Linked DNA regions of Drosophila melanogaster. The protein of the gene in region 3 interacts with the protein of the main gene of each other region in a pairwise test. Each region holds a gene or a part of one and is shown on either strand. Other genes may lie near its edges. The genes, in order: rau, gcm2, CG10654 and vnd.

The links.
Region 1: the proteins of CG10654 (region 3) and rau interact in a two-hybrid assay, tested with the Drosophila melanogaster proteins (one large-scale study listed by BioGRID).
Region 2: the proteins of CG10654 (region 3) and gcm2 interact in a two-hybrid assay, tested with the Drosophila melanogaster proteins (one large-scale study listed by BioGRID).
Region 4: the proteins of CG10654 (region 3) and vnd interact in a two-hybrid assay, tested with the Drosophila melanogaster proteins (one large-scale study listed by BioGRID).

The regions. Positions count from the first base shown.
Region 1 is NT_033779.5:5,875,876-5,882,423, forward strand, and holds the start of rau (rau), read right to left. Parts: upstream 3,624-6,548; 5' UTR 3,113-3,623; intron 1-3,112.
Region 2 is NT_033779.5:9,606,301-9,614,369, forward strand, and holds gcm2 (gcm2), read left to right. Parts: upstream 1-2,261; 5' UTR 2,262-2,597; coding exon 2,598-2,608; intron 2,609-4,301; coding exon 4,302-5,046; intron 5,047-5,111; coding exon 5,112-5,202; intron 5,203-5,261; coding exon 5,262-6,235; 3' UTR 6,236-6,406; downstream 6,407-8,069. Other genes in the region: Trx2 (thioredoxin 2), read left to right, coding at 7,217-7,240. UniProt on the Drosophila melanogaster protein: Transcription factor with a minor role promoting glial cell differentiation and a more significant role in hematocyte differentiation.
Region 3 is NT_037436.4:12,504,333-12,510,512, reverse strand, and holds CG10654 (uncharacterized protein), read left to right. Parts: upstream 1-2,672; 5' UTR 2,673-2,802; coding exon 2,803-3,363; intron 3,364-4,025; coding exon 4,026-4,703; 3' UTR 4,704-5,139; downstream 5,140-6,180. Other genes in the region: sti (sticky), read left to right, coding at 1-212, 289-484, 541-2,156; vih (vihar), read right to left, coding at 5,365-5,794, 5,861-5,967.
Region 4 is NC_004354.4:588,346-597,474, reverse strand, and holds the start of vnd (ventral nervous system defective), read right to left. Parts: upstream 6,434-9,129; 5' UTR 6,081-6,433; coding exon 5,524-6,080; intron 3,828-5,523; coding exon 3,169-3,827; intron 1,120-3,168; coding exon 164-1,119; 3' UTR 1-163. UniProt on the Drosophila melanogaster protein: Probable transcriptional regulator involved in the regulation of the proneural AS-C genes and the neurogenic genes of the enhancer of split complex. Could specifically activate proneural genes in the ventral-most neuroectoderm.

The DNA.
Region 1 (6,548 bases), on a different chromosome or scaffold from region 3:
GAACCATCCGGCCACTGCAAAGTCAACAGCAACAAAATCACTTGCGGTTTGGGCCAACATCCACAGCCACAAATGCGAACTGAAGTGGTAAGTTTGCTTTTCTTTTTAGGCGTGAGAATCGGTCGCCAATTCAGGTGGGCGGATTACAGAGGCACGTGTTGGTGGAAAGTCAGTGGCGAGAACGATTTCCCAGCCGATAAGATGGCCACTGTGAGATACATTTCGCAGCTAGATTTACGGCCTAATGAAAGTTTTACGAGGTTTTGCTCGGTTCATAGCGAAAGGTTACCCAGCTTTTGACCCTAATGGATCATCTGAACTGCTGGAAAAAGTGATAAAAGCGAGGTGAAGAAACTCAATTGGACAGAAGAAAGTTCCAGATGAACTTTTTCTGCTCGTAAAGCAAAGTATGGGGATCAGCGAAGACACCTGCGCTTATATAATGTAATAAAGGGATATTAATCTAGGACAATCTACTAAAATGTGAAAGGTATTTCCCAAGACAAGATGTTCCTATCATAAGAAGACTGATCATCAGTACAACTTAATCTCTAAGCTCTTTTCGCAGTAACCCATTTACAATGCAAATTTGCTTCTTATGACTAATACTACATAGTTTCGCTGAAAGCCAAATCAATACGGAATCACTTAACACACAAATTCCCCAATGCCTAATCGTTTCGAATTATACATTGTAGTGCTAGAGAAAACCAGATGCCATAAGGCGTTATAATTGTTTTACGCCACCATATCTCACAGGTTGCCGTGCGCAAACAAACAGTTAACAGGCTTTGTGTACCTTGGTTTTTTGTTAATTAATTGTTAACAAAACGAAGTGTCAACAAAAAAAAATATCAACCGAGAGCGGCTGAGAGAAAAACCACGAGTAAAAGCGCCAACTTCCAGTTTTTTGCTGACTTTGTGCCATCATTTATATTAAAGAAGTCGTATATTATTTTTTCATTTCGCTGCTGAACTTGTTTATTGAATTTACCATTTTGAAGCCGCTGACTCAGTACGATTTTCGCTGTAATTTAGCCGAGTTAGCGAGAAACGTTAAACGAGGCTGCAGTGCATAATATATAACCGAAAAAAACCCCCGATTCGGGCCAGCATTCATTTCAATTGAATTTTGAATATTTCGGAATGCTAAGCTCCAACATCAAATTGTGTTGCCAACGCTCGAATAAATTGTAAATCAATTTAAGAATCAACAAGAGAATGTACGACTTCGGGTGTGAAATAAAATAAAATAGCTTAGGAAAATTGCAGTAAAATAAATTGTTTTATTTTATAGCCGGAATAATTTAGAGTAGAACTTTTACATATATGTACGCAAAAATCCGGTTAGCGCACATTTATGTCGATTGACAAATGCTATTGTCTTTTTATTGCCAGTGCGGGTGTGTCTTTGGTTAGATGAAGAAACAATAGACTTGAATGTACATAACTGTATATGGAAGTCAAGCAACTTCCTCAAGCTATAAAGCCACGCATAAATTACCGAGGAAATTATACAAAATGGTTTGTTCAACCATTCACTGGAATGGAGCTCTTAAATACAAATATGATAGAAAATGGCTAAAAACTATAAAAGCGAATTGAGATGTTAGTGCCAAGATCTCCAGCGAAAGATAAACGATCCCTGATGCAGACCACCCTCGACTTCCTGCCATCGATTAATCAATAGAACTACTTCCTTTTAAAACGCCCCTCGCAAGTACTACGTGTGTGCAATGTGAAGACTAAATGAGGCGAATATCCTTTCATGGCTCACGTATCCAGCCCAATACAAGATACTTCTGTTAAGCACAGATTTGGTGGTACTACCTGTTCCGAAATCGAAGCAGAAGGCGCTAAACTGAAGGAAACCGCACTTGACAGTAGCACACGAGCAGGTAGGCCCAAAAAGGTAATCCCTCTCTCACGTAGTCTTCTGAAATTCAGGATGGGATCGCAGCACGTTGAGCCCTCTGGGGCGTATTGTACTCGTGCATTTCCTGATTTTTAATTAGCCAAATAGAACCTAACAAAGACAACAAGTTGGGCCAAACGGTCTGAGGCTACGTGCTTGGTATGTGAAATCTTTAGCCCCTCAGTGTCCACAGGAAAACAATGCTCCAGACCGAATACTCCTGTGTGCGAGAGGACAGGAAATTAATTCGATATCAATACTTTTCTGCGGTTGCGTTGAAAATTGCGAGAAAGTGATGGTAACCACCACCTCAGGCTAGCAATTTTATAATCAAAACCAACCGCTTTTGGACATCGGGATTTTCCCCACTCGTAATCATGGTTACACCGCCGTCTGGTGGACAATGCTAACTTATTATTGCAACTCCTCATTAGATGATATTATGTGGAATTGACATTAAGGAGTTTGACAATAAGCACAGCAAAGACAAATGAAATGATACACATGTGTATCCGATTGGGGGGCATTGTTAATCGAAAATCCCCAATGAGCATTGTTACCGAACTGAGTGATATCATTCATCTGAGCTTGAAACAACAGAGACGGATTTTCTCACAGAAATCTACAAGATATGCATCAAATCAAATGTTTGGTCGAGACCCAAAGTTTGTGTCATTCATAATCGGCCAACAAAGCAACTCGACTAATTAAGAGAGTCACTCGACCAAGAAATTTACATGAAATGTTTATGCATTTCCAAAATAGCTGGGAAGGTCTTATGTCCGCCTGTGTGGCCCTCTAATGGAAGTTTGAAATATTTGCATAAAAATTCAAAAAAATGCTGAGCAAATTGTCGAGTTGCAGATCCACGGATGTACACTTGTCGGAGGCCAAGAACCGGACAATGATGCTCAGCAATTCCGTATTTGCATTGTAATCCCCCTAGATGACCTCGGGAATGGAGGAAGTGACTGGCCAACAGCTTGGTTACCGTTGCGGGTTCAATCAACTCCTCTGGCCAGCGAAACTGTCTGGATCTAATCGCGCAATTCGATAATTGAGTGCAGGAGAGTGGGCTGTGAAAATTCTGGACTTTCGCCAAGGCGAGAAGAAACCCAATCGACCGAACTAGATCTCGTCTAGCAATCAAACTTTCTAGATGAAGAGCGAAAACTGGACCAGCGATCGGGCGCTTACCTTCTAGCGTATGATTTGTAGTATCCAAATGTGATTTGTGTGTAATCCCAAGACCTTAAGGCCCGAGACTTTGATGGATGGCGGTATAAGAAGTCCGGAGTGCGAAGACAAGACAAGGTCGCGTCGTTTTTCTTCGGCTGCCGCTTTTAGGGCCCTTTGGCTGCTTGGCATTAAGTTATCAAGCACTCTACGCCACTTCGCATTTCTTCGCGTATCCAAAGGTGCGTATGCGTACGTGCTCCCTGCTGGGGAAACAGGTGCACTCAGGAAGCAGCTGCACTGATTTTTATTTTAGCGTTGCACTTTGAGTTTCTATCCGAATTTGTTCACTTTTTGTACATATGTATATTCCTTTGGCTTTCGTACCAATTTTATTTTAGATCTGGACGCACATTCACTTTCGTTCGAATAGGCTCGCTACCGTTAGCCAGTTCACTAAGAATTGGAAATTTTCGAGCGGAGCTAATGTAGATTGAGTACCGCACTCGGCAGTGTTTACAGACGCACTGAAGCCGCACGGCTAGCGTCTGCGAGGTCTAACCCGCTGAGAGGAGTCGCATTCAGATACCTGTTTTGTATGTGTGTGTGAGCTGGCTCTCGCGCTCTCGCCTCTCTGCACTCAGAAAAAAACTATAGCTAGCTTGATCAGCGGAAAGCAACGCAGATACTTGCAGTTAGCAAGTTATTTAATAATTTGATAACTAATATTTAATTTTTTTAAGCTGACTATAAAATTCTCTCTCTTCTTATCTTCTACAGGGGACTTTAATTCAACTTGAAATGAGCCAAGCTGATCTGATACCATGTGAATAGTATGAATGTTAGGTGAATGGATTTTGGGAAAACGCAAATCGTTCATAATGGAGCCACTGGGGGTGTGGGTTGGCGCTTCGTGGGCGAGTGAGCGGGCGAACTAGTTCTGTCTGCGGCTCGCTCTTTTCGGAGAGAGGAAAACTGGTTTCCAATCAGACTTAGACTTTGCCGGCATGTGGGTTTCCTCATGGAAATCTGGGGATGGGGATTCGCGGTCGAGCGACGCCGGATGGGCTTGGGCAGAGCTACATAAATGACCAAAGTTGAAGGGCGAGGCACGGCTAGAGTTTACGGACTTGTAATAAATCAGGGAGTTTTCAAAGCAGAAGACTTTAGCTAGTAATCGTATGTATATATGTGTTCACGCTAGAACGGCATTAGTAGTTTATTTAGTTACTAAACAACAAGAAAATTCAAAAACTGTACTACCTTAACAGTTTCCACAACAATCAATATGAAGCTGATGCATTTTTAATAGGTAGACCTTAAGACTCCTTCTATAGTATTCGATTAACAGGATCGATTTTGTAACTTTAAGTCTGGCGAAACTAAATCCAGGAAATAAGCCCTGAACTTTGGCAGTATGTAAACTGAAAAGGTGAAAGAAAGTTCAACATTCAGGCGAGATATTCCATTCCGGCAAGTCGTAGATTGCTTCGGTTTGATGTTTTTTAGACCCCACAGAAACAACAAAGAAAAGCAAAAGTTTAAAAATTAATTATGACAAAGTCAAAAAGTCCAAAAATTATTAATGAAAGTGAAATTATCATCAGCGAAGCGAAAAACAAAAATAAATAACAGATTTTTTGTTGCTCGATAATTTGCGAATGAAAAGGAAGGAAAAAACCAACCAACTGATGCGCCAGTAAAATTCATTAGACTTTGATAGATGAACTTGATGAGTCGATGTCGCTGATGGACGACGGACTCGCAGAGTTGTGAAAATCTGAGCGAAAAATGCGGAACCAATTTTATTTGTTTGCTTTTTGAGAGTAATTTAATTAGTTGGAGCACGGCAAGTTATGTTTGCATGTGACCCGGGGCGGTCAATTAAGAATTCATGAATCAGGCCCTAATTAGAGGTCGCCGTTTAACAAATTGATACTGGTTTTGTATTCACATTGAAGCCGAAAGATCTGTTCGAAGGTGTTAATAAAGCCCAGTCAAATTGCTTGGCTCCTTAGAACATTCTCCGTTCTGACTGAAGGGTATCAAAGTTTGTCCTCGGGGCACAAAAAGTTACATCTTGTAGCTAAGTGGCATTCCTCTGACCAACGGTTAAATATTTGTGCAGCACTGTGCGGACATGAAAATGGTATCATAGCACGCTTTTCACACAGCCGTGTGAAAAGTACACACCAGCCCAGTTTGAGGGAGGGCAGCTCAGACTCGGATGCAGGTCCCCTGCTCTCCTCCAGTCCACCAGACTCCAGATGAAGATGAAGTCGCAGCGAAGGTATGCTCCAGTTACAGAAGTAACAGTGTTTGTTCAGCTCAAATACAGTAGAGCCTACGAAACTGTTCATGACGGCCCATCGAAAAAGCTTAAAGTAAAATATTTGATGCCCTTGCCGTCGAACTTGTAATTATATGCCACGGAATTGAAAACAAAAGCATATCATATTTAATATGAAACAATGTTTTGCAACAATCTTCCAAACACAAACAGAAATCTTTCGAGTTCTGCCCTGGTAATTCGGCCTGTACGCGCATGGAGTTGCAATTGCGGACTCAGCGCGGCCGGCTGCAAGTTAATGGCTAATGGTCAGCAGCTGCCGCAGCCAAAACAGACGTGCTCCAATTGTAAACAAAAATGTTGGAGCTCGGATCGCCCAAACACACTCGCCTCGAGCTGCACTTGTGTTGGTTTGTATCCGTATCTGTATCTGCATCTGCAACTGTATCTGCATCTGCATCAGCATCTGCTCCGGATGGCAGCGAAGTCTGTCAAGTGGGTTGCGATTCCGACTTCCCCCTCGGTGCAAAAAGCACCGACTGACTTTTTGCGTGCTGAGCACATTTCCTATAAATAGTAGCTGTAAACCATAAATAAAAAACGAAAAGAGGCAGAGAAGCGCAAGGCGAGGGCTACTCTATTCATGCCATCTATCAAGTTGCAGGCACCCGAGATGAAGTTTGCGCTCAAATGATTTGTTTAGACGGCCTGCCACTAAGTGGTGGTAGCCTGTTAAGGCCGCTTTGGTTGTACCGAAATGATTGCACAGCGAATTAGTTGGCATCGGAGTAAAGAGCTATCCGTTTAAGGCCTAAACATCACTTACCCCAAACGAGATCGTCTCAATTGGTGGATATAAATCAAGTTCGGTTAGCAAAGCAGCTGATATTGGCTGGCCGTTGGCTTCAGTATCCATGTCATAAACAAGGACTTCCGATTGCGGCGTCTGCTCAAGTGGCAAGTGCCACGAGCGGCTTAGCGGAGGTCCTCATTAAAGCCGAAACCGAATAAAACACCAAACTTTCAGCAGCTGAGGGGCGACAGCTTGCAGACCCAAACAGGTGGCATCGGCAGTTGGGTCAGAGACAAGTCCTGGAGTGCGGGTCGAGGGACGGAAGGGCGGGAGGACTTCCGCCGATGTCCTGGCCATTTCGTAGCCAGGTGGCC
Region 2 (8,069 bases), on a different chromosome or scaffold from region 3:
TGCCTTCGGTCTTTGTCTTTGCTGGGTGCCACAAAGTCACACTTCACTGTGGTCCGAGATTCGGCTACAGTCGAAGAAACAATTTGGTCGAATGTGTCAACAATCAAGTATCTGTGCAGTCCGCCATAGGGGTCATCAATATCGACGGATGTGTAGAAGATTTTTCTTAATTAGGATAGCGCCTCACTAAAGCTTTTCCCGAAGCTGTTACCTATATAACATATTTCAGAAAATATAGGTAAAACATAAACATATACATATAAACATATACAACTTCAAGCATTTTTCTTGGTGCAGTACACCAAATTAATTATTATTATTTTTGGGTCGAAAGCTTGAAAACCCATTACACCAGTTTTTATTTATTTTAACAGATCGATGATTAATTTGATGCGCCAAAAATGAAATTATGGAAATATTTTGGAACACAATGGCTTAGATGCCCCAATGACAGGCCCTTCTTGGAACAGCTGGAGCTTGGCGCTCTCGGAGCACGCGCTCATTAGAGATCGGTCCGATCACAGCGTGACTCTGGATCTATGACTTCGAGGTGGGACCACAGCGGGTGTGTGTGTGTGTGCCTACATTAAACTATCCATGCTTATAAAATAATGTTAAGCAATTAATTGCGAAAACCCCAAGCAGCTGCAAGACAGAAAACCGAACGATAAGCCGGATCGCGATAGATACTGGGGTAAACTGTTTAGCTAGTTGTGAAGTTGTGCATTTTCTACCACTTTCTGGTTGGTTCGTATATATGGTAAATGTATTTGTCACCCGTATCATTTGCTGTGGAGCGTTAAAGCGACAACAGCAGCAGCGGCAGCAGCAGCAGCCATTTCCAGGCCATCCGCGTAGTTACGCGTCTCCAGGCCCAATCCCGTATATATCTGGCCATAGTTGCAGGGGCCCAATTCCCTCCTGCCCCTTTTTAATTACGGGTCACAGTGGATGAGCGCAGGGGCGCAGCAACAGTTGCCACTGGTCGGTCGCTGCCACTTTTGTTACCATTTACATTTCCTGTCAACGGCATTTTCAATTTTCACTTTAACGCCTATTTGCTCCTCCATTTCTTTGCCTCTCCCTGTTAAATTGCTCTTCTTGGTCTGTTAATTGTGAGTGTGTGCTACCAAGTGGATGCATAAATTGTATTTTATTTTTTGTGCCCTGTAACTTTGGCCCAAATGGCGATGCGGGCTGATCAGGTGAAAACAAAAGACGCAGCAAGCATTAGGCCCAGCAATGCCCCCGCCTCACCAAAAAGTTCACCCTCTGGCTGATCTGGCCCTGATATTGTTGCCACTTGTGTATTCTCATGTTGTGGCTTTAGGAGAAATAATTTATTTGGCCAATAACCAGAGGAAAGTTGCTGTGTTTGGGGGGGAAGAACATACTTAGGTATCATTAGAAAATTTTTGAATGTTTTAGTAAATGTTTACTAATTAAAGAAAATTCAAAACTATATTTATTTCATAGTTAATATGAACAGACAACAGTCTAATGATTCAAATGCCGTTCCTTTCTAAGGCGACCCATGAAACAGAATACATATTTATACATACAAGTGACTCAAAATAAAAAGCAATCATGGCCAGTTATCGGAATGTTCAATTTACAATACGTGTTAAGCGGCATAGATCGGCATTACCCAGTCCATTAATCATCCCCCTAATCTGGCGAATATTCCAAACGATAAACCCCTGAATATCTATGCTCTGCCAAAGGTTTCCACTGCTTTTTGTTGGCATATCCTTAAACAGAGTTAAACAGAACAATGGGGACTGATAAGGGGCATAATAAGTAATTAAATTTCTGTGATGCTTATCGAGTATGTAGCCCCCACCACAGAAATTCCTCCATCTCCATCGCCGGAACTTCAAAATCTCTCTCTTCTCTTCTCTCGAAAGAGAGGAAGCCTATGTGTGCGTGTTTATCCGACCAATCGGAGGCGAGAAGAGACGACTGGAACTGGAAGCAACTGAGACTGCCTGGAAGGCAATGTATCTGACGGATACGTTTTACCACTCTGCCAGCTGCGTGGAGTTTTTTGGCAAATTATGCGGGTGGCTCGTCGCTGTATCGTCGCTTTCCCCGCTTTCCCGCTCCTCCGCCCACTTTCGAATATTTTGTTGGTTTTTGTAGGTGGAGCCAGAGCCATAATACCATTCCTTTGTTGACAAAACTTGGCACTACTACTCGCTCGCTGAAGTTTGTTTTTGTCTGCTGCTGCCGCTGCTGCTCTTTTGTTTTTCGTATCTGCCAGATACGCGCGCACATCCCGCCCTGCAGGTTGTATTCGAGGTTCAGCGAAAAGGTCGTCATTCTCACGGTTGTTTCCCATCGTCGGCGTCGCGTGCGCAATTCAGTTCAATCCAATCCAATCCGTTCCGAGGAGCTTCAACTAGCGACGGCTATCCGCGAGATACAAGTGCCCAGTGGATACAAGTGTCGCCTAATTGGATTACAATGCTCAAGTGTTGCCTGTTCGCAGGGCTTTCGAATCGCGGAAAACTCATTTAGGAGCAGTTGAGGTTTTATTGGATATTTTTAATTATACCACCTAATACCTGGATTAAAGAAGCTGCTTCAATTGGAATATGGTTGTTATGTAAGTTCTAAATAGTCCCTTTTTCGGAGATTTTCAAATGTAAATTCGAAATTTTATTGCCAAAAAATACTTTTAATAGGACAATAATCATATACTTTGTTCTCGAACCTTTTATCAAATATAATGGTAATTATTGAAATATGCTTAAAATAGGTTTCACTAAGTTTCTAAATTATTCTGCTTGGAACCCAAAGGAATATGGATTAAAAATTAATTTGCTCACATTATTCAAGGCATAGAGCTACCGAAGAATTAAAAAGCTCTCAGTACAAATGTTTCAAATTATTGCTGATCTGAACTGTGCCGACACGCGTTAAACCCAAGCCATCTGCGTAAGTGTTGAGCTTCCAAACACCTCAGATCAATCTCGGATGAAGAATGGGCCACAAATCAAACGATAAAGAGGCAGCGGGGGAGGTCAGGGAAAATGTAAATGATTTCAAACGCTTTATTATCACGCTGAGCGCGTTCCACAGCTTAGTTAATGGCACTCCGGTCCAGTCCAATCCGCTCCAAAGAGCCGCGGGGTGTGCCTCGTATTTTGGATGTTGGATTTCGGAAGGGGGATCTCGAATCTTGGAAACCGGCGGACCACACACAGTCGTAGGCGGAGCGGCGCTCGAGTGAAAGGGTCAAAGAGCCGATGATGATGATGATGCCCCCCCGGCCCCTTCGATTTATAGAGACATATTTTCTAGGTGACAAACTTATTATGAGCCCTGGACAGAGGAGGCCCAAAAATACAGATCTCGAACGAAGTGAGACGCTATCAGCATCAGATAAGCCCAACTAACGAGCGCCCCGAAGTGTCGAGCAGTCAATTTACGGACCCAAAACAAAGCGAGCCACTAGCCACGAACAGGTTCAATCGGGGGAAACCAAAGACCACCAGGCGAACCGTAGCACAGGTATTTGGTGTGTGGTTCTTGGTGCTAGATGCTGTGCAACCTGCTGACTTCCAAGTACACATAAAAACACTCAGGGGACCGAGGCGAATCGATCCATCGGCTTCGAAATCGATGGAAGACAAATTTATTGCTAATTGCAGAGCTCGCTCTCTAATAACTCCCACACATGGAGAATCTCGGCTGAGGCCCTCCATCGAGTCTAGCGATTCCCAGCTGACTCACGATCGGAGTGTCGGTTTAATATGCATCTCCGCCTCCTCAACTGGCGCTCGAATTACGATTGTGGCCAGCTTGGATTACCTGGTGCACAAGATTTGGGGCTAACGGTACCAGCCCTCTAAACTGGGCCTAAATAACCATGCGTTTCATGAGGCCCATAAACCTGGCAAACGTTTCATTTGATTGGTTTGTGTTGGGTTGGGATGGCCCCCTACGAAACAGTTTAGGGCGCAATTAAGATAGGATTTCAATTCCTTAAACGATGCTTAGGCTTTGGCGATAAAGTCACAGTTAAATGGATCACTTAAAGTTTTTACTCGATGTAAAGAGTTTTAATGTAAATAAATTCGATTTAAAAGTTAATGCTGTGACTCACAGTTTTGCCTTAACTTAGATTCCAAAAGGGCAGTGGTGTTTTTTTATTATGTGGCTACTAGAAGTGATATAAAAATCTGAACTCAAGTTAAAGTATGTTTTGTGCTCTTTGGCAAAATTCAAATATAATAATATAGTATTCTTAACTATGAATATAAAATGCAACTTATTATATATAAAATCCTCTACAGAAATGGCTACAGCTTCAAGACGCAGCAACTTCTCACACAGCAACCCGATCATTCTCAGCTTACCCAGTTTGTCCAGCCCCAAAGTCAGAGTACGCATTCGGTGCATCCGGGTCCAAGTCCTGGTCAACAGCAGGCGGGTGGCTCCATGACCATGCCGTCGTCGTCGACGGGCAAGGGAAAACGGGAGTGGGACATCAATGATGCCATTGTGCCACATGTGCCGGACCAGGAGTTCGACGAGTTCAACGAGTGGAGCGACGGGCATGTGAGGCACATCTATTCGCTGCACAACGAGGAGGCCAAGAAGCACATTTCCGGCTGGGCCATGCGCAACACGAACAACCACAACGTGAACATTCTGAAGAAGAGCTGCCTGGGCGTCCTGGTCTGCTCCCAACACTGCACCCTGCCCAACGGATCCAAGATCAACCTGCGCCCAGCCATTTGCGACAAAGCCCGGCGGAAGCAGGAGGGCAAGGCGTGTCCCAACAAAAGTTGTCGTGGCGGTAGACTAGAGATTAAACCGTGTCGCGGTCACTGCGGCTATCCGGTGACCCACTTCTGGCGGCACTCCGGCAATGCCATCTTTTTTCAGGCCAAGGGAGTGCATGATCACCTGCGTCCGGATCCGAAGAACTCCAGTGTTTCCAAGCGGGCCTTTGGACGTGTGCCGCTGGCTGGAAAGTCAGCCAACGGATCAGTCGCCAAGAAGTCGGTCATTGCGGGTCTGGTCAAGCAGGCGAAGGTGAGCTTAGATAGACATTCATTCACCCGGGATGTATCATCTTAACCATTCTTCTCTGACGACAGCAACAACACAGTCTGATTAGCAAGGTTCTTAAGCGTCCTGCTGTCAGCAATCCTCTGGCTCACACCGCATTGGATATATATCAGTATAATGGTAGGTATATAAAACAAGAATATTTAAAGATTTCTTTTACAATTTGTATCCCCCATTAGCCTGTGGCAAGTGCGCCGGTTATAGCCACTGCACTTGCAGCTACCTGGATGACAGCACCACGGCGAGGAGCCATCAGTTGTCACAATCCTCGAATTACGGCACCAATTCTTGGCCACTAAGTGGATCCGAGTCATCGGCACCCTGCGAGACGGCAGCTAATGTGTTTACGGTCAACCACCAGCACATCACCTATAACTATCCCATCTACCATGCAACTCCAGCGGCGGCCACCGCGGCACCTAGTAAATCTCCCAGTTTGCCCTACGCCTGCAGCATTTCGGAACTGGCCGCATACCAGCAATCCTCCAGCGGGAACAGCTTTGCGATGGGTGTTCCCGTGCACGGACACACACAATGCCAGGCAGTAGCCTATGATTCCAGCCCGCAACTGGCCACTCCGGAACCGGAGTTCATCAACTACTCGCAGATCAAGCATTTGGGTGGTGGCGGTGGTCAGGAGGAGATCAGCTGCAAGGCCGAACCGGGACCCACCATTAAGTACAATGCCACCGTGGAGACGCAGCCGTATGTGGAGGACAACTACGATTACTACTATAGCCCCAAGGCGGAGTACGAAATGCAACAGCACCACCACCAGCAGCAGCAGAGCCACCAACAGTTCGGTGGAAATCAGACAGCGGGACATCACTACTACGAGAGCAGTAGTGGCTATAATGGAGTCAGCTATTTCGACACAGGAACTACTACGGCACCAGGAAATACTGCAACCGGAAATGGCCTGGAAGTCGGATACGGCGGCTACTACGATCACTACACCAGCTACGAGCAACAAATGGCGGTAGCAGGTGGATTTGCCACTGCCGGAGGATCCACTGCGCCGACAGTGGCCGCGCCCCCTGGCCATCCACCGCCTCCACCACCACCGCCCACGCTGACGTACCACCATCACCATCACCACCACTTGCACCACCCAGCAGCAGCTACAGGCCTAGCCCCATCGGTCACCCATTGAATAGTACTTAACCAATCCGGACACCGGAGGATTACTCATAGTCGATAGCTAAGCATAGTAACATAGTGTTTAAAATAGTGGTGAAATCTTAATTTCCATCTGTACGTGTAGTGTTAAACGGTTTACCAATTGTTTTTCTCGGCAAATAAATTATGAAAAGTGTTGATTTGTAAAAGTAAATGTATTTAATTTAAGTGCGTAAATATAATTTCTTATTGCGCGACCAATTCAAACATAGCTAATTTTCAGCGGTCATGATGGTGCGGTTCTTGAAATCAGAGATAGATGTCGCGCTGTAAAAAAATTGTTGGTAAGAACCATGTAAAATGTAATGGTAAAAACCATGTAATGTAGACAAGCAGGTGCTCACTTAACCATAACTGTAGTAATTTTAGGACGCATTTAATGATTTGTAGTTTAAAATCGATAGATAGTAAGATATACTTTAATACGAATGATGTTTTATAATTGGCGGAAACATTTAAAGAAAAACAAATTGGCTGCCAAGACCCAAATTTTGTACCGCTTACATGGCTTGCAGTTTTTTTTTAAAAAGCCTCCTACCGGTAAGAAACTGAACTACTGCAGAGTTGCTTTACGATAAACTCACAATGACACACAGACACAGACACACAGACATAACCAGACTAAAGAGAATAGTACTACAAGTTATAATCGCTATCTTCAGCAAGAGGATTTCACATTTAAAGTAATCGCATAGTGGCCAGCAAAACCTATCGCATAGATGTGCCAATCGGTCTATCCATTCGAAATTCACCTTCACCAAACGCGACATACACATATGCAAAAAGAGAGCGTATAGCAATGAGAAGCGTGAGCGTGAGTAAAAAATCTATAAAAGCAACTGCGACGTGCTCATTTTGGTAAAAAATTTAGCTGTGCTGCAAAGAGCTGCCCGAGTGGTAATTAAGTAACTTTTGTACATTTCTACCGGTTCCGTCTCCACATCTCCCATCCAACATGGTGTACCAGGTGAAAGATAAGGTGAGTCACTTCAACCGGATCTATGGACGCATCACATCCGTCATCTATTGGGTAACTCGATAGCGCTACCCTTTGACCCCTCAGTTCCAGTTACACGTTTATTTTTTCGCTCCGGACTTTGAAAATATGGCATTGGAAGCGGCATTCCAATTAGCCACTTACTTTGAATGATTGGATTCGCTACGCTTTTTGCCATACGCTCTCCCGCGAATAGAAGGAACTCACGTTCGGTCTAGACGAGCGAGAAAGCGGAGAGCAAACGAGAAAGTTCCGAATAGCAGCACAGCGAAATGATAATGATATCATCCCGTGGACCGCAAAACGGGTCTCAACGGAAACCGAATTTTGAAATTGAAATATTCCGGACCGAGCTAATCGGAAATAGTGCGAACAAGATATACGTACTATAGAAACCACATATGTACGGATGTGTGTGCGACTGGCATGAATTTGCAATTCATTATCGTGGTCGAGGCCTGGTTTTTTGGTTAGAAATATTTCGAATAGTTGCTATAGCACAGGGTGTGCTCTCCACACATAAGTTGCGCGCCATGCAAGTTGATCCAAAGCCAAGAAAACAAAAGACGCGAGTGCGCGGGGTGAAGAACCGGTTCCATTTCATGAATACAAAGTTACGTCAGGAAATATTGGGAAGTAAATACGTGAAAGCATGCCTTCTTATTTTATTTCTCAATATTAGTTTATTTATATTTGTATACACACTTAAACACTATCAAACATTGACTCTCGCGGTCTAGTTCTATACAGCAAACCACACAACAATAAGCTCAAAAATCAAAAAATGCTTATCGAAGGCATAAGGAATCCA
Region 3 (6,180 bases):
CTAGAATTCTCAGCGAGCTGTTCCACAAGAAGGAGGAGGTTGGCAATCTTCAGGCGGAGATAAGGGGCTTGGAGTCTGCGCAAGCCAACTTGCACGCAGAGATCGATTCCCTTCAGGACACTTTGGCCGAGAAGGAGCAGTTCTACGTGCAGCGGGACATTAAATCGAATGCCACACTTGCGCAGCACAAAAAGCTGATTGACTACCTTCAGGTATAGCTAGTTTATATATATTCTTTTTAAGAGAATAGTTAATGAGATTAAAAACATTTTTGTATTTATATTTTAGCTCAAAGTTGAGGACCTATCCGCCAAGAAGAAAAAGACATTGGCGGACAAACTTTTCGGTTCTAGCCACACAAACAAGGAGAACGTGTCACCCAATGACGTGGAATCTTCCATTCTGTATCGCGCTCTAAAGGAGGAACTGAAGCGAGAACAAAAGATGAACAGCTTGCTGAAGGAGCAGTTGGCTCAGTTGAATGGTGGGATTTCTTTAGATTTCGCTTGATGTTTGTATCTAATTGTATATTTCCTTTAGGAACTGCAACCTTGCGCTCTCCACGCAAATCTGCAGCTGTTAATGGCGACTCCGATGCACCCAAACAGAGACCCGTAAGCATTGCTGCCTTGCCACGTTCTCCACAGAAGCAGCAGCAGCCCCTGAAGCGCACCACCAGCCAGGTGGAGCTGAAGACGACGGCGGAGAAACCGACTAAAGTAACCATTGAGAACCAGGCTCATCACCGTTTCGAACTGGCCCTGCAGGAGTCCAAGGTGGATGCCGTCAACTGTGTAGTTTGCGAAAAGGCCGTCGTTGCCGGTTCGCCGTTCTGGAAATGCAAGGAGTGCAAAGATGTTACGCATCGCAAGTGTCGCTCCAATGTTCAGAGCCATTGCGGATCCACCAAGCCGACTGCACCGTCAGCCGATGATCTTAGCAGTATTCAATCTGTCTCCAGCTTGACTTTGGATAGCGTAGATGTTGCGGGTGGTACAACCAGCGGTGGCGAGTACATTGGATCGCTGGTCTACAGTTCGGATGGTGCAGAAGATCAGGCACGGAAGGAGATCGAAGTGAACTGCGCCTTTGAAGTGGCCGAGCAGCAAATACTCCTATTGGGCTGTAACACGGGACTGTATGCGTATCACTTGGACTCGCAGCGATTGGTGCACATTTCTGGTCTCGAATCGGTGAGCTGCATGTCCATTTGCAAGCGCCTGGCTAAGGCTATAATGGTGGGCACAGTTGGCGAGAAGCTATATCAATGTGACTACCGCCAGCTGGAGTCACGCTGTCAGAGCTCCAGTTCGTGTCACAAGCCTGTGCTGGAAACGTCGGCCATTGAGCTGCCATTTGCCAATCGCACGCCATCGGAGAAATGGAAACTAGTGCTGATCTCCGATGAGGCGGAGAACGCATTGGATTCGGTGGCTATTGCGGCCACGTCCACTAGGATTGTCATCTTGAAGTACGACCTTAAGCTGCACATGTTTAAGCCAGTTCGAGCCTTGGACACGGCCACGCCGGTCACATCCATATTCTTTACGCGTCACTCGGCCATTGTTAGCTCGGATAAGTTCTACGAGATCGATTTGGACAACTATGCGGCTGAGGAGTTTGTGGATCTGTCCGATAAGTCAATGGAGAGCACTGCCAAGTGCCAGCCCCTAACTGCGGTGCGCATCTCACGACAAGAGTATCTGCTCTGCTTTGCCGAATATGGCGTCTTTGTGGACGAGTTTGGCTGCAGATCCAGGCCGTACGATTTGAACTGGGTCTATGCACCCACTGGATTTGTTTACCGCGATCCATTCCTATTCATATCGCACTATCAAAGCGTGCAGATAGTCCGTTTGCATCGGTCGTTCAGCAAGGAAATGGCCAGCGGGGATAACGCATCGGAGAATTCGGAATCCCCGGAACTGCAGCGCGTCTACTTGCCCCACTACATGTCCACGCTGCTGGCCAACAGCGGAGATGTCAATCTCTATGCCGTGGCCATCGATCAGAGGCCCTGCAATGGAACACAGAAGATCTACCATCTGGACACGATGCAGGCATTCAAGCAGAAGTTCAATATCTCCATGGAAACGCTGTCTTCAGTGGCCACTTCTGTGACTTTGGGCTCGACTGTCACCGGAAATAGCATATAGATGAAGGATATATATTAACTAAACGAATGGACAAAGCAAAATACTACAAACTGAGTAGTTGTAGTTATATCTAGGGTTAGGATATGCTATACATTTGGATTATTATTATTTTAACTTGTCAGAACATATGTTTTTTCACAATCTTTTTCATGTGTAACGATTGCCTAAAATCACATGGCAGAATCTTTTAAAAATTACTTAATTTACTCTTTAAATACTTTGTGCTGTATACACAAATAAAACTTGAGATTTTGATAAAAAAGGTAATTCATATTAAATTAATATATTTATTTTGATCACTAAAATATCGAAGCATATTAAAGGAAATATTTTTTAATTAATTAAAGAAGTCGCATAATATTTTAAATCAATTTTACTATGCAGGATAGCTTTTCGAATAGAATAGTTGGGGGCATGGAGTCGACGCCAAGCTTTTGGGGCTGATCCCACGCAGCTTTTCGGCAGCAGCTTTCAATGTCCCGCAATTCGAAAGCCCCGGAAATGGAATCGTGCTCTCCGCTGGCATTACTGCCATCGTTGGCTTGGCCGCTGGACGCCGGACTGCTGCACTGCCGCCGTCGCAGATTGTGTTAATTGATTTCAATTGGCTCCACGCCATTTGAGTGGCCCGTTGAATCTCCCGACGATGCCAGCAACGATGTTTGATTCCCAGCTGAGTTTGTGCGCGGGTCGCATTGTCGCCGATTCCACCACCACCACTACCTCCGGCATGGATGGATGCGATGGTGCCAAGACGATGATATGCCGCGCTTGTCTTGTGCTACTGGGTCCGCAGGATGCGTGTCACAATCTGGACAGCGAACAGGATCTGGCCAGCAAGTACTACGGCTGTACTGGAGAGGATGCCGTTAGGGATTTGCCACCCCAGTTGGTGCTGAAAAGCATCTGCGAGTGCTGCTATCAGTTGGTGCAAAAGTTCCACGACTTTCAACGCATGTGCGCAGAGTCCTTGCGCAATTTTGAGAAGCTGCTGCAGGACATCGACATCGGATGCCACAAACTGGAGGACCACACTTGGCACGACTTGGACACCCCCTCGGAGAGCAACGAGTCCACTAATCCGGAAGCCCAGTCGCACGCACCCTGCATCGCAGCGACGCAGGAGATTGTGAGTTTTATCTGGCCACAAGTGTGCCTGCCTCTGGCCGTAATCTTATCTAGAATCACATTGGGTGCTTCGCTCGAGGTGTGTTGCCTAGCAGCCAAGCAAAGACAATACTGCTCCCCATTCCCCGCCATAAACAAAAACATTTCGACAGCGTTTGTTTGTGTTGTACTATTTTTGTTTGGTGGGTGATAGCACTCGAAAAGGAGGCACGTCCCAATCTATTGGGTATTTTTAAATTTTCCACTAATAAAATTGGGAAGATGGCAACACGCCTCGATTTATGGCTCCTCCAAATAAGAAAGTCGATTTTAAAGGCCAGTTTTATCTAGAATAGATAAATGTGTTCCCTAACTTTCACTCATTTTAGATATTATTTATAGCGCCTTTAATATTTTTAGCATTAAAAAACTAAACTAAACAGATAAGTGACCGCCAAAAGTTCGGTTCACAAAATATTACTTTCATTTTATCATCTTCTAAGTCGAGCGATAAGATAATCTTAATAGCAAATTAAGGAAAAATTTCCACTTTAAAGTAATGAGTAAACATAATGTAATTCCTACCCTTACTACAAATTACTTAACTCAACCAAAAGCAGTTTGTTTTTATATGCTTAGACCCTTTTTACATAAAAAATTCCTTCATAATAGATATGTACAGAATTCCCACAAAAAAAAAAAAAAACCACCACCATTCAGTTTGCTATGGTAATTAAATATATAATACCCTAAATTTTCCAGGAGGAAGTCTACGTAATAGAGGACGAGTCAGCCAAACAGGATCTGGGCCAGGAGAAGCTATCCATTTCTAGCAAGTTGCTGGGTGCCAGAAAACGACGAGGAGTGCGACACACCCTCGAGTGCCGAATTTGCCACCGTGGCTTCTACAAACCGTCGCTGCTGGAGGCCCATATGCAGCAGCATGAGGGTCTGAGACCGTATACCTGCGTCCATTGTGCCAAGAGCTATGCCCGGGCCAATCTGCTGGAGTCGCACCTGCGGCAGATGCATAACAATGCCGACGCTGCGCGGATCATCTATGCCTGTCCGAGCTGCAACAAGGTGTACACAGCGAACCGAAGTCTCAAATATCACATGAGAAGGACGCACGAAAGGTATCACGAGTCAGAGTCCCCGGATGCGCGGCACATTTGTGAGGAGTGTGGCAAGTGCTTTGCGCGAAAGGCACATCTAACGCGCCACAAGATGGTCCATGGTAGCGTTGAGGGTCGGAGATACTGCTGCGAATGCTGCGATCGCAGATTCTACACCAAGGAGAACATGGTGGATCATCTGCTGCGCAAGCACGGCAATAAGAATCTGCTGCTCAGATGCAGAAAATGCGGACGCATTTTCCAGAACAGCGTGGAGCTCAACGCTCACGGGAGGAAACACAAAGCGATGGATGTAGTTCAATAATTCGTTTTATTTGTGGTTTCAATAACATCAAGCTAACACAACTGTTACAATGATTCGAATTACTTGGAATTTTGTTATGCCAGTATTGTGGGAGAATGCCGCATAATTGGAGATACTAAGACGACGCGAATGGTTGACGAATCGATGAGGCTGCCCTAAAATTAGCTAACATTCACATAATGGCCGGCGCAGCAGCATAGTCGCTTAAAAATCATCAGTACAAAAAAATGGCGATGGCGATGGCGCGCACTCGCAGTAGTTCTCAAAAAAGTAATCATGCGTATATAAAACAATTAACTAAAATTTATCCTTAAGCTTAAAGAACGGATGACAGTTTTAAAATTACATTACCAATACATTCATTTATCATTAATTTGTAGGGAGGAGGAAAGAAATGAGAATAAAAACCAGATTATCCGTCAATCGATCGACAATTACATAAGAAACGCACGGGGTCTTTTGCCAAATGAACTATCAGCATTGAACGTTGTTGAAATTGATCTGGTGATCCACTTAACTGATGGTACTGTGTTACGGTGGTGATTGATGATTGGTTTGTTGGTTGGCAGTAGGTCTTCGGATGAGTGGAGTTGCTTGCACTATATGTAAATAAATACGCCGCAATATGAGCATAGGATATATGACAACGAATTGCCAAACTCTAGGTGTCCTTGTGCTTCTCGTAGAAGGCGTCTAGATATTTTTTGTACTCCTTTTGGTCATTCCACATCATCGCGGCCTGCGCATTCAGTGGACTCTCGTTGTTCGGTTCGCCCAGCAGGGATTGTATGGACAGCAGAATGGTGCGCACATCGTACAGGGCCGACCATTTGTCCTTCAGTATGTCCAAACAGATGGCGCCCTGCAGATCAACATTGGGATGGAAGCAGGACGTCAGGAACTTCACCACGGGTGCTGCATACGGATAGGAATTGGGAAAATCCAGTGACAAACGATACGTTTGCCCCGAATACACCGTGTTCCGTGGACCCGCTATGGTGCCCACCCACTTGAAGATGTTCTCGCCGTCCGGAAACGCTGAGATGCCCCTCTCGTTGGCCATCATCAGGTTCATCAGTTCCTTGTGCAGTCTGTGGGTGAGTGTGAGTGTGTGTGTATATTGGCGGATTATCTAGGCTGCACCATGTGCTACTCACCTTTTGCTCACGGCGTGATTGTCTTTCACGGGCATGGAGTCATCGCTGTGCTTGCTGCCGCCGCCGCCTGCTCCACCACTTTGCTCGGGGCTGATATTCTGCGCCATGACTATATATCTACGTCTATATATGTAGGATGCTAGTGCTATCCGCTGTTTGGCTTTCAGTATGTGCGTGTAATTTAGCGCGCTTCGTGGCGGTCGGGTTTTCGATTCTCAATTGTGATTATATGTACTGTATAGTGGAAATTTAGTTTGATCGGTCGGAATACGCGTCTGTTGCTTTTTCAGATATTTTTTTTTTCACTTTTGTGTGAAAAC
Region 4 (9,129 bases), on a different chromosome or scaffold from region 3:
ACTGAGCGCTAGTAGGGGTTTGTATGTGTTTCAATTATTATTGTATATTCTTTTACTTGGCTTCACTGGGAATCTGGAGGCGTGGTCTTCTGGCTCATCGCTCCACGGGCCTGACTATCCACCTATCCGCCCCCAGTCCCGTGAATGCCAGTTCCTAGCAATATTAGGGCCACCAGGCGGCCCTCTGGGCGTGGGCGTGTGGATGGCCGTGTCCGTGGGCGTGGGCATGAGCATGGGCGTGGGCGTGAAGGCCGGCAGCCGCTGCAGCGGCATGTTGATAGGCGGCCGCTCCATTTAGGGCAACCAAGTGATGGGCGGCGGCATTCTGCATGGCGGTGGCGGTGGCTGATGACACGGAGACGCAGTCGGCTCCCAGTTTGGAACTATCGCCCAAGCAGGGCTTTCCGTTCCTCACCAGAACTGGAACGGCTACCCGACGGGGCGATGGCAGGGCACTGGGGTGATGCGGATGGGTGGCATGGCCGTGCAGTAGACCAGGATGACCCTCGTAGCCCTTCTCGTTTTGCGCCCGCTTCGTCTTGTAGCGATGGTTTTGAAACCAGATCTTCACCTGGGTCGGCGTCAGGCGGATCAAACTGGCCAGGTGCTCGCGTTCCGGGGCACTCAAGTAACGTTGTTGTCGAAACCGACGTTCCAGCTCATATGTTTGCGCCTTGGTGAACAGGACTCGTCGCTTCCGTTTCTTATTTGGCAGACCGTCGGATCCATTTGCATCCCCGCCGCCACTGCCGTCGGCGTCGTCCACGTCGTCGATATCCTCCTCGATGCCATCTTCGTTGAGGCTATCGTCGTGACCACTGCCTGCTCCGTTGATCCCCTCGGCCTTCAGGCTGTGGTTATTGTTGTTTGTCGTATTATTATTGTTGTTGTGTAGGGCATGGGCCGTCGGAGCGCCTCCGGCACTTCCATTACCAGAGGATCCATGGAGGGTGTGCAGGGCGTCGCCCACGGATAGTGCATCGCTATCGGCCGACCGGCTGTAGCTCTTGTAATCGCCGGAAAGGGCAGGCGATGTCTGGCAGTTGGAACCAATGTAGGTGTACGACACTTCCGAGGTAACTGGGGAGGTGCTATCCGGACTGGCGGGCTGCTGGGTACCTGAAATCAAAGAGGAAATCAAGGTTTTGGTTAATGTGCTAATTCTTCGTAGTAGATATATGGCTAAAACCGGGAGAAAACTCCCTTCTTAATATGCTGCTAATTGAGGAATAAATTGCTTGGGATAGCCATTTATTTATTTGCATTTTTCACAATGGTCCTACAGAATGGAAAGGCAATGGCAGGGTGCGAGCCCTGGGTGGGAATTTGTCAGCAATTGAGAAACCTCTTTAGCCGTAAATTAATGTAGCGACACACCCCTCCACATCGTCCAAGTGATCATGCAGAATTCGGGACAAAAGGGGGAAGTCAGTATCGCAACTACGGCAATTGGATTAGGCGCAACATGAAGCTGTGGTCGGAAACGATCCAAATGTCAAATGCCAGATGTATGCACTCCTTATGGTCCGCAGCGTCAAATCAACCCCTGCCCATCCCCTACGAGCTTCACCCTAACAACGCCAATTAGGCGGAGACAAACAGAGATCGCACACAAATACATACAAAAATACATGCCTAGGTGGGTATTCCCTTGTCGTCTACCTGAAACGATCGCTTCGATCTCTCGCTGAATGACTGCTGATCCTGGGCCTGTACTAAAAACCAGCAACCAGGATACTAATGGGACAACGACACAAAAGCCAGACCTCAAACACATCAATGGTAGCCGGGTCTCTTCCGGTTCGCCCCCTTTCGCAAGAGTTCCGAACTTCCAACAGATAGTGATTTAGTGATTTATCGCCGGGTGTGGCTATTTCTGATATTCTGGGGCGGGATCTGCGGTTGCAGAGGTATTAGAAGTGGGCTTATGCCAGTATTCAGGCAACTTCAAACGAGGCATGTAACTATAGAAAATCAAAAAGAAGCCCTTTAGTTCTTCCTAGCTTTCGAACTTTTGGATATAGTGCTGCGAAGGCAGCATTCCAAAGAATCGGAACGCGTCCTATCTGCATTTCTATTCCTATTGCAATGTATTTCATAAAATGTCTTCTAATGTGTGTATTCACCTGCCCGGGGTGATGTCCCCGTGGGACATTGATAAAACAACAAATGCAAGGGTCGTAGGAGCTCCTAATGCTCGCCTATCAGCTCCCACCGAGCTAGCCGCATTTGCCCTGCCACGGAAGCCATGCGCTCACCATGACAACTCAACAAATTAATAACTTAATATAATCAAAATGACTCTTCCTCGACTCCTTCACAGCTGTGGAAACTCCCAAAAAAAGAGCAGAAAAGAGAAAATAAAAAAACGGCAAGTGGGCAGCAGCTATAATTTGTAGCTAAACAATAAAGGAATAATAACAGAAGTGGGAAGGGATGAGGCGGAAGTGCGTGCCATAAATTTCCAGGATGAGAAATGTTTGGGCCGCAACAACAAGAAGCGATCGAGCGGGCAGCGATTGAATGTCCTGGCCGAAGGACACGAAGGACGTCAACTGCCAGAAAAACAACAGGGCTAATCCTCAAGTGTGAAGCGCATACAAACTATTAGTCATGATTAAAGGGGAAGCCCAACCCCTGCTCCTTGATTCCCAGTTATATACCCATTTCGATCCGCAGTTAACTGCCAACGAAAATAAAACACAACAGGGCCAGAATTAAACAAAGCTTGTCACACCCTGGAAGCACGTGAATCCGTCGAGTCCACAGGGTATGCAAATACAGCTGCCTCATCGCTCGACTGCTTCAACTCTCTGGCTCTCGGGAGCAGTGAGTGGTTAGTTACGGAACAGTATCATTAGTCGGCCAGTTAATCGGGGGTTAAATGCAGTCGAAAATTGTAAATTTCTTAAAGGGAGCTTCCTGCGGACTTCATTGATGAGTCTATTTTGAAACCAAGTTAATTCGTTGCTCTTTTGCCTACCCACGATTCAAAAGGATATTTGTTTGGGATCCAAAGACTTGCTTACAACCTGCCATTTAAGTGTTGCTTCTTCAAAAAGCCAACTCTAACTTGGTTATTGATATGGCCAGGAGCTATCTCCTGGAAATGGAGCAAATGAAAATGGATACATGCGTATCCATTTATGAGTTGAAACATTCGCTCACCGTATAGCTCGTTCTCCTTGATCCACGCACTCCTGCCCGAGTGCTGCAGCATGGTTTGGGCCATGTGGTGGTACGAGGACATCTCGTCGCCAAAGCTCCCCGGGAAGTTCTTGGGCAGGTTGGGCAGATATTGGCCGGCGGCCACAGCAGCCGCAGCCGCTGCATTGTGGCTGGCCAGCAGATGGGCGGCGGCTGCATTGGCATGGGCGTGGCTTTGGGCTTCGCCGCTCTGATGGTGCGCCAAAGGGAGTGGGGCCACCGCCTGCTGATGGTGCTGCTGCGGGAGGAGGAGGTGAGGGTGGTGGTGCTGCTGGTGGTGCGGGTGCTGTTGCTGCGGATGGCTAGGAGGGGCGTGATGCTCGGTGGTGCTGTGGTGATCCGCTTCTCCCGCTCCTCCCCCAGTCCCGCTGCCATTGTGGTGCTCGTCCGCGGAAACGCCCGCTGGCGTGGGCGACAGCGCCGAAGGCGAGGTGTGAGATCCCTGGCCGCGATGTCCACTGGTGGACTCACTGGCCGAGTGGTGACTCAAATCGCTGCCATGGTGGGCGGCAGCAGCGGCGGCAGCTGCTGCATTCTTCAGCTCAGAGCCCTCCAAATTCAAGATGTCCGATATATGGAAGCCAGAGCGTTGGGACGACGGCACCTTTGCATCGAATAAGCTGCAAGGAGATCAATATGTTAATTCTAACTGAACTTCAACACTAAAAATTTGAGTTAAATGTTTATTTCTCATTTCAATTGAGCACTCGCCTACAGTTTTAAAGAAAAAAAGGCAAAAAGCATACCAAAGATGAGTTGTAATAGTTTTTCTTGAGATTCTGTGTAGTTTCTTAATTGTCCCGGCAAATTGTCATATAATCGAGTGATTAATGACTCCCCGAGTATAAAGATGGCTCCTTAGAGGACGTGGAACGATTTTTCCCTGTTTCATGCTTATTGCAGCGACATCCTGTGTCAATCGTGTGAATGGCCGGAAGGTTTAACAAAAGGAGGTCCCTGTTGGTCGGGATATGCAAAGGAAACTACCTGCACTACCTGTAGCGCTCTGACTTTCACAGATTTTTGCACTTGCCGTTGTTAAGAAGATAAGGAGGTGGGGGGTGTGCATCCTGCAGGCATGCTTCGGAACCGAAAACGCGCACATTTCCCCCGGAATTAACTTTGAATAAGTGCACCCAAATCGCTGGATTATTGACACCTAGTCCCGGTCAGACCCCGAGTTTTGATTTGCCTAATACCATCAACAATTAAACGCAAATCCGCCTCGTAAGGATCGCAGCTACCTGGTCGGGTCAGTGCAGGTCAGCACAGGTCAGCAGGGACTCTTTACGGGTCGAAACAGGTCGTGCCACATGTTGGCGCAAGTTTGCTTGCTTCCGGTTTTCCCATTTCGAGTTTTCCCGAAGACCCCGACTCGCGAATTTCCCACGCTATGGACAGGCTACACGGGCATTCCCCGTCCTCCTGAGCGGAAATCCCATTGCCAGACAGTGTGACGCCAGTATCTCGAAGGCATCTGAGTCCCATGTCTGTCGTACACATGTCATTCCCGATTGGGGTTTCCCTGGCTCTCACCTACGGGAATTTCTAAGCCAGGGTCGAACAACAAGCCAGAATTTCCCAACCGCCATTCGCCAGGACCTTGAGTACTTGCCAGATCAAAGAGGCGGGGAATTATACCCTGTGTCCTGTACTTGCGCGCTGTGCCCGCTTGGTTAATTTAAAGAGCTACCAGGATTAGCCGGACAAGTCCATCAGCTATATGGGATCTAAACACTAATATGGAGGCAGAGGCTCGCAGGGTGTGATTTTAAGTCGGAGCTTAGGCGAAGGCAATTGCAAAGTATGGCTGGTCTTGCGTATTCTGCAGATTCTGCTTTCAACGCCCAATCTTCCAAATTATTAGATTAGGAGAATTAATTAATGGTCTTGCGTATTCTGCAGATTCTGCTTTCAACGCCCAATCTTCCAAATTATTAGATTAGGAGAATTAATAGAAAGACATAGAAAATTAATCGGGAACCCAAAACCTTGAAAACCATATCTGTTTTTTACAAAGTGGTCAGCCATGAAAGGCAAACGTATTGTCGGTGGTCAGTAATTTTGTTTCAATCTGAGGCATGTCCTTATTATCCATATCTTGGCCAGATCCATGCCATCAAAGTGTTACCAATGCTTAAGCGTTTATAAATAGCCCACAAAACAGAGGTCATAATTAGAAGAACTAGAATGGACTTGTGTCAACGTATCACCAAAATATGCTTTTCGTAACCAAGACATATGAATCATAGGTTTGTGTTCACCACTCCAGAGGTATCAATGTTTTAATTATTCCATTGGAATCCTTGTGCTTACCCAGGCAAAGCGTTTCGCAGGGCCGCCGGATAAAAGGCGGCTGGTAGGAGGGCGTGGTTCCACGGCGGCAGCAGGATGGGCGACCAGGGCAGAAACGGGGCCGCTGCTGCGGCGGCCACAGCCGCCGACGATGGAAGCATAAGACTACTCATGCTGTGGAGCCCCGGAAATCCGCTGAAGGCGGCTGCACCCGTCGGAATGCGGAGCTGTTCGGGCGCCAATCCGGAACTGGAACTTGTGTTCGTGGGCACGGTGGTGCTGGCGGTGCTGAAGACTGCGGCGAATCTCTCGTGATCTCTGTCTCGCTCGTGCCGTTCCTGCCGCTCCTTGCGATCCTCCCGGTCCTCTCGATCCTCACGCTCCCTCTTCCGCTCCAGCGAGGGCGTTGAGGTGCGCAGCGGGCGCTTCGGCGTGGCTGGGGAGGACGGACTCACCGTGATAGCGCTTTGGGGCGATGCGGGCAAGCTGCCAGCGCTGCCCAGACCGCTGCTGTTGTCCCGCTCGCGATCTCGATCCCGCTTTGAGGGGGTCCTCTCCAAGGACGCCGACGTGGTCATATCGCTTTGCGATATCGGGGAACCACTGTTTGATTTACTACGCTGCGACGCGGGTGGCGGCGTGGGCGGACTTTTGCGTTTCTCCGCCACTTTGGAGCTTTTACGGTGTTCGGAGCACGGAAAAAAAATATGTTTATGTGTAGTTACTGGGTAGCACTGCGATGAATTAAGCGGGTATCCTGGTAGGGCAACTTAAATTCCAGACATAGTTCGATTTAGGCTTAAGTTTAAGTTTATCACCGGGAAAGTTCGATAGTTCAAGGGTCGCGAGTCGTTTCTCGATTTCTCAGTTGCACGGGTCCGCGGAGCAGCGCACTCTACACATTCCAAACTGAAGTGTCATCAACAACTAACGAGGCATCAAGAACTCAACACGAGTCCAAGTCGCTTCAGAACAGCCAATAACCAAAACCCAACAACCAACGGCAGAAAAGTACCAGGTCGTATGCTCGGGGTGTCTTTGGGTATCACTATGTATGTGGTGCATATCTGTATCTGCATCCCTCTGCCATTGGGTACATAACGCAGATACTCGGATAGTCGCACACACACACACACATACACAAACACACACACGCACACAGCCAGACTGGAGAGACTCTCGGCTTTGTTGGGCGCGCTAAGTGGCTTCTTATGTCCTTTTCAACAAGGATACGGCAACAATGTGAGTGGCCTATTCAACCACCGAGAGAACCAACCACCATTCGTCGCCAGAGCGAGACGTACGATGTGAACCGAGTCCTTATGCCGCACGTCATCCCGCTCTAACTCTTTCCTGTTGCTTTCTCTGCCGCTCTCAAGAGTGCCACTTGAGTGAGAGTGTGTGTGTGCTGCAGCCTCTGTGTATGTTTGCTTGTGTGTGCGCGAGAGTGAGTGTGGATGCGAGGCCATTGTAGCGCCTCACGAACCTCCTCAGGCACGTCGGATTGACGTTCCCAGATAGGGATTCTGGGATTGGGCCGTTCTCTTCCAGCAGTGCTCTGCACTTGATGTTGTCAGCATTCCCCGCGTCATTTAATTGTATTTATCATTATCAGCTCTCTGCAACTCTGGACTTCCGGAGCGGGAACATCAGCCCCGACTTGTGGCGCCTATGCGGTGGGTCCAAGGAGAGGACAGGACAGGGCAAGACATGCGATTGTGACCGGCATTTAGCACGATAATATCAGATGGTGATATCAGCCATTATCCTATTGAGGAACGAGGGCGATAAGAAAAATTTTCTGGAATTACGCTCTCGCCTTTTCTATATGTAGTTGGCTATTTAAGAATCAGATCAATTCATCATTTAAAATCCCAGTCGGGTTGTAATACTTTGAGATTTTGAGTACCAACCATGATTAGATCTGGGGAGGATTGATCACATATTTGTGATTTTATATTAGTCAGCAACGAAATCTTATTTTGAACCACGAACTATTATTTTAATACTTAAAAGGCGCACTGCGAAAACCCTTTTAAAGGCATTCTCACATTACCATACCGGTGAAAGAACGTTATTTTTGCGAAGGCATTATTTTCTTCTGCCGTGTTAGTGGTATGCTATTATACTTGGACATTTAGTTTACTTCACGGTACGTTCTTTGGGAATTGCAATAAATTTCTTGCGTGCAACGGAACTGTTATAGACCACTTTGGCACTGACATAGGGGCCTTATGTACAAGGAGTGTCGCTGTTCGTGCAATTTGAATTTCGATTTCATACTCGTAAGCCAACTCGTGATTAGTGCAGATCCTTCAAACGCCAATACATGGCGCCGTTCCTTGAGAGGTGGCTTCGGGACACACCCCGGACACTCACAGATAGGGAGAGTGCGAGCGAGGAGGTCGAAAGTAAAGTATGGGAATATACATAATCAGCACGAGCAGTAAACGACAGGACAGACTGAACTGGGGGTATCCGCCCGAGGCAATTGAAAACATGGCAAGAGTCCGTTGGGGCTGGCCCCATTTACATATGGGCTGGGGGCTATATACATATATCAGAATATGCATATACATATATATATATATATATATATATATATATATATATATAAATATATGTTGTGTATATGAAGGAAGCTCCATGATCCCTATCCACGAGCATCCGCCCTCTAAAAGTGGGCACCCCACTGTCGCTCATGACTTCGCACCATTATTCTCCCCATGGGGGAATGGAGGTGGTAAGTGGAGGGGGTAGAATTTTATCTTGTAATAACCTCTGCCGACGACGACGTCGCCGTCAAGTGGGCGCGTCATGGCCGCCTGGCCAATGGGAAGAGCGTGCGAGCAGGAGAGTTATACCGTGCGCACCGTGCGCTGACGCGCATGTTTGGGAAATTTTGGTTACGCCAAAGGACTTTTCGGGGAAATTTCTCCCATGTGCGCACGCCCATCTTCCCGGGCGTTCGTTGTTGGCCATTGTTATTGGGCTTAATAATGATGTTGCATTTAATATCAAAGTAAAACCTTTGTGTGCGTCGCCGTTGTTGTTATGGCTTAGCTTCCGCAGGAAGTTTTAGTATCTCATGGATTTATCTGTGTTTGTGTGGAGCGCTGGCATTCGAATTACACACGAATTCAATTCGATTCCCGCAAAAACTCGTTTGTTTTTTATTGCCCTCTGCTCCTTTATTTGTGTATTTATTTATTTTTGTATGCATGCTTCTGTATTTTCCGCACTTCAAACTACTTTGTTTGTGCTTATTTCTAAGTACAAACAACTTCAATTGTAGCTCTCGTCCTTGTCGTCCTCCTGCTCGGCCTTTAGGGATTTGGGCACTGCCTAGTTTATTTTTATTTTTTTGTGAATACATTTTCAATATATTTGCGTTGCAATGGGTGGAGGTCCACCGACAGCAGAGGGCTATTTGCGGCTGACATACATAAACAGCTATAGAGTTTATGAGAAAAGACAGCAAGATGTTTTCTTCAACTTAAAAGTGTCTACTTGACACTGACTCTCTTATATTTGTCGAAAACTTTTCATCGTCGAATGGTTTTAATTAGCTTGCACTTTGTGTTGCTAATTAGTCGCTGTTTCAATAGATTCTATATCAGTTATGTA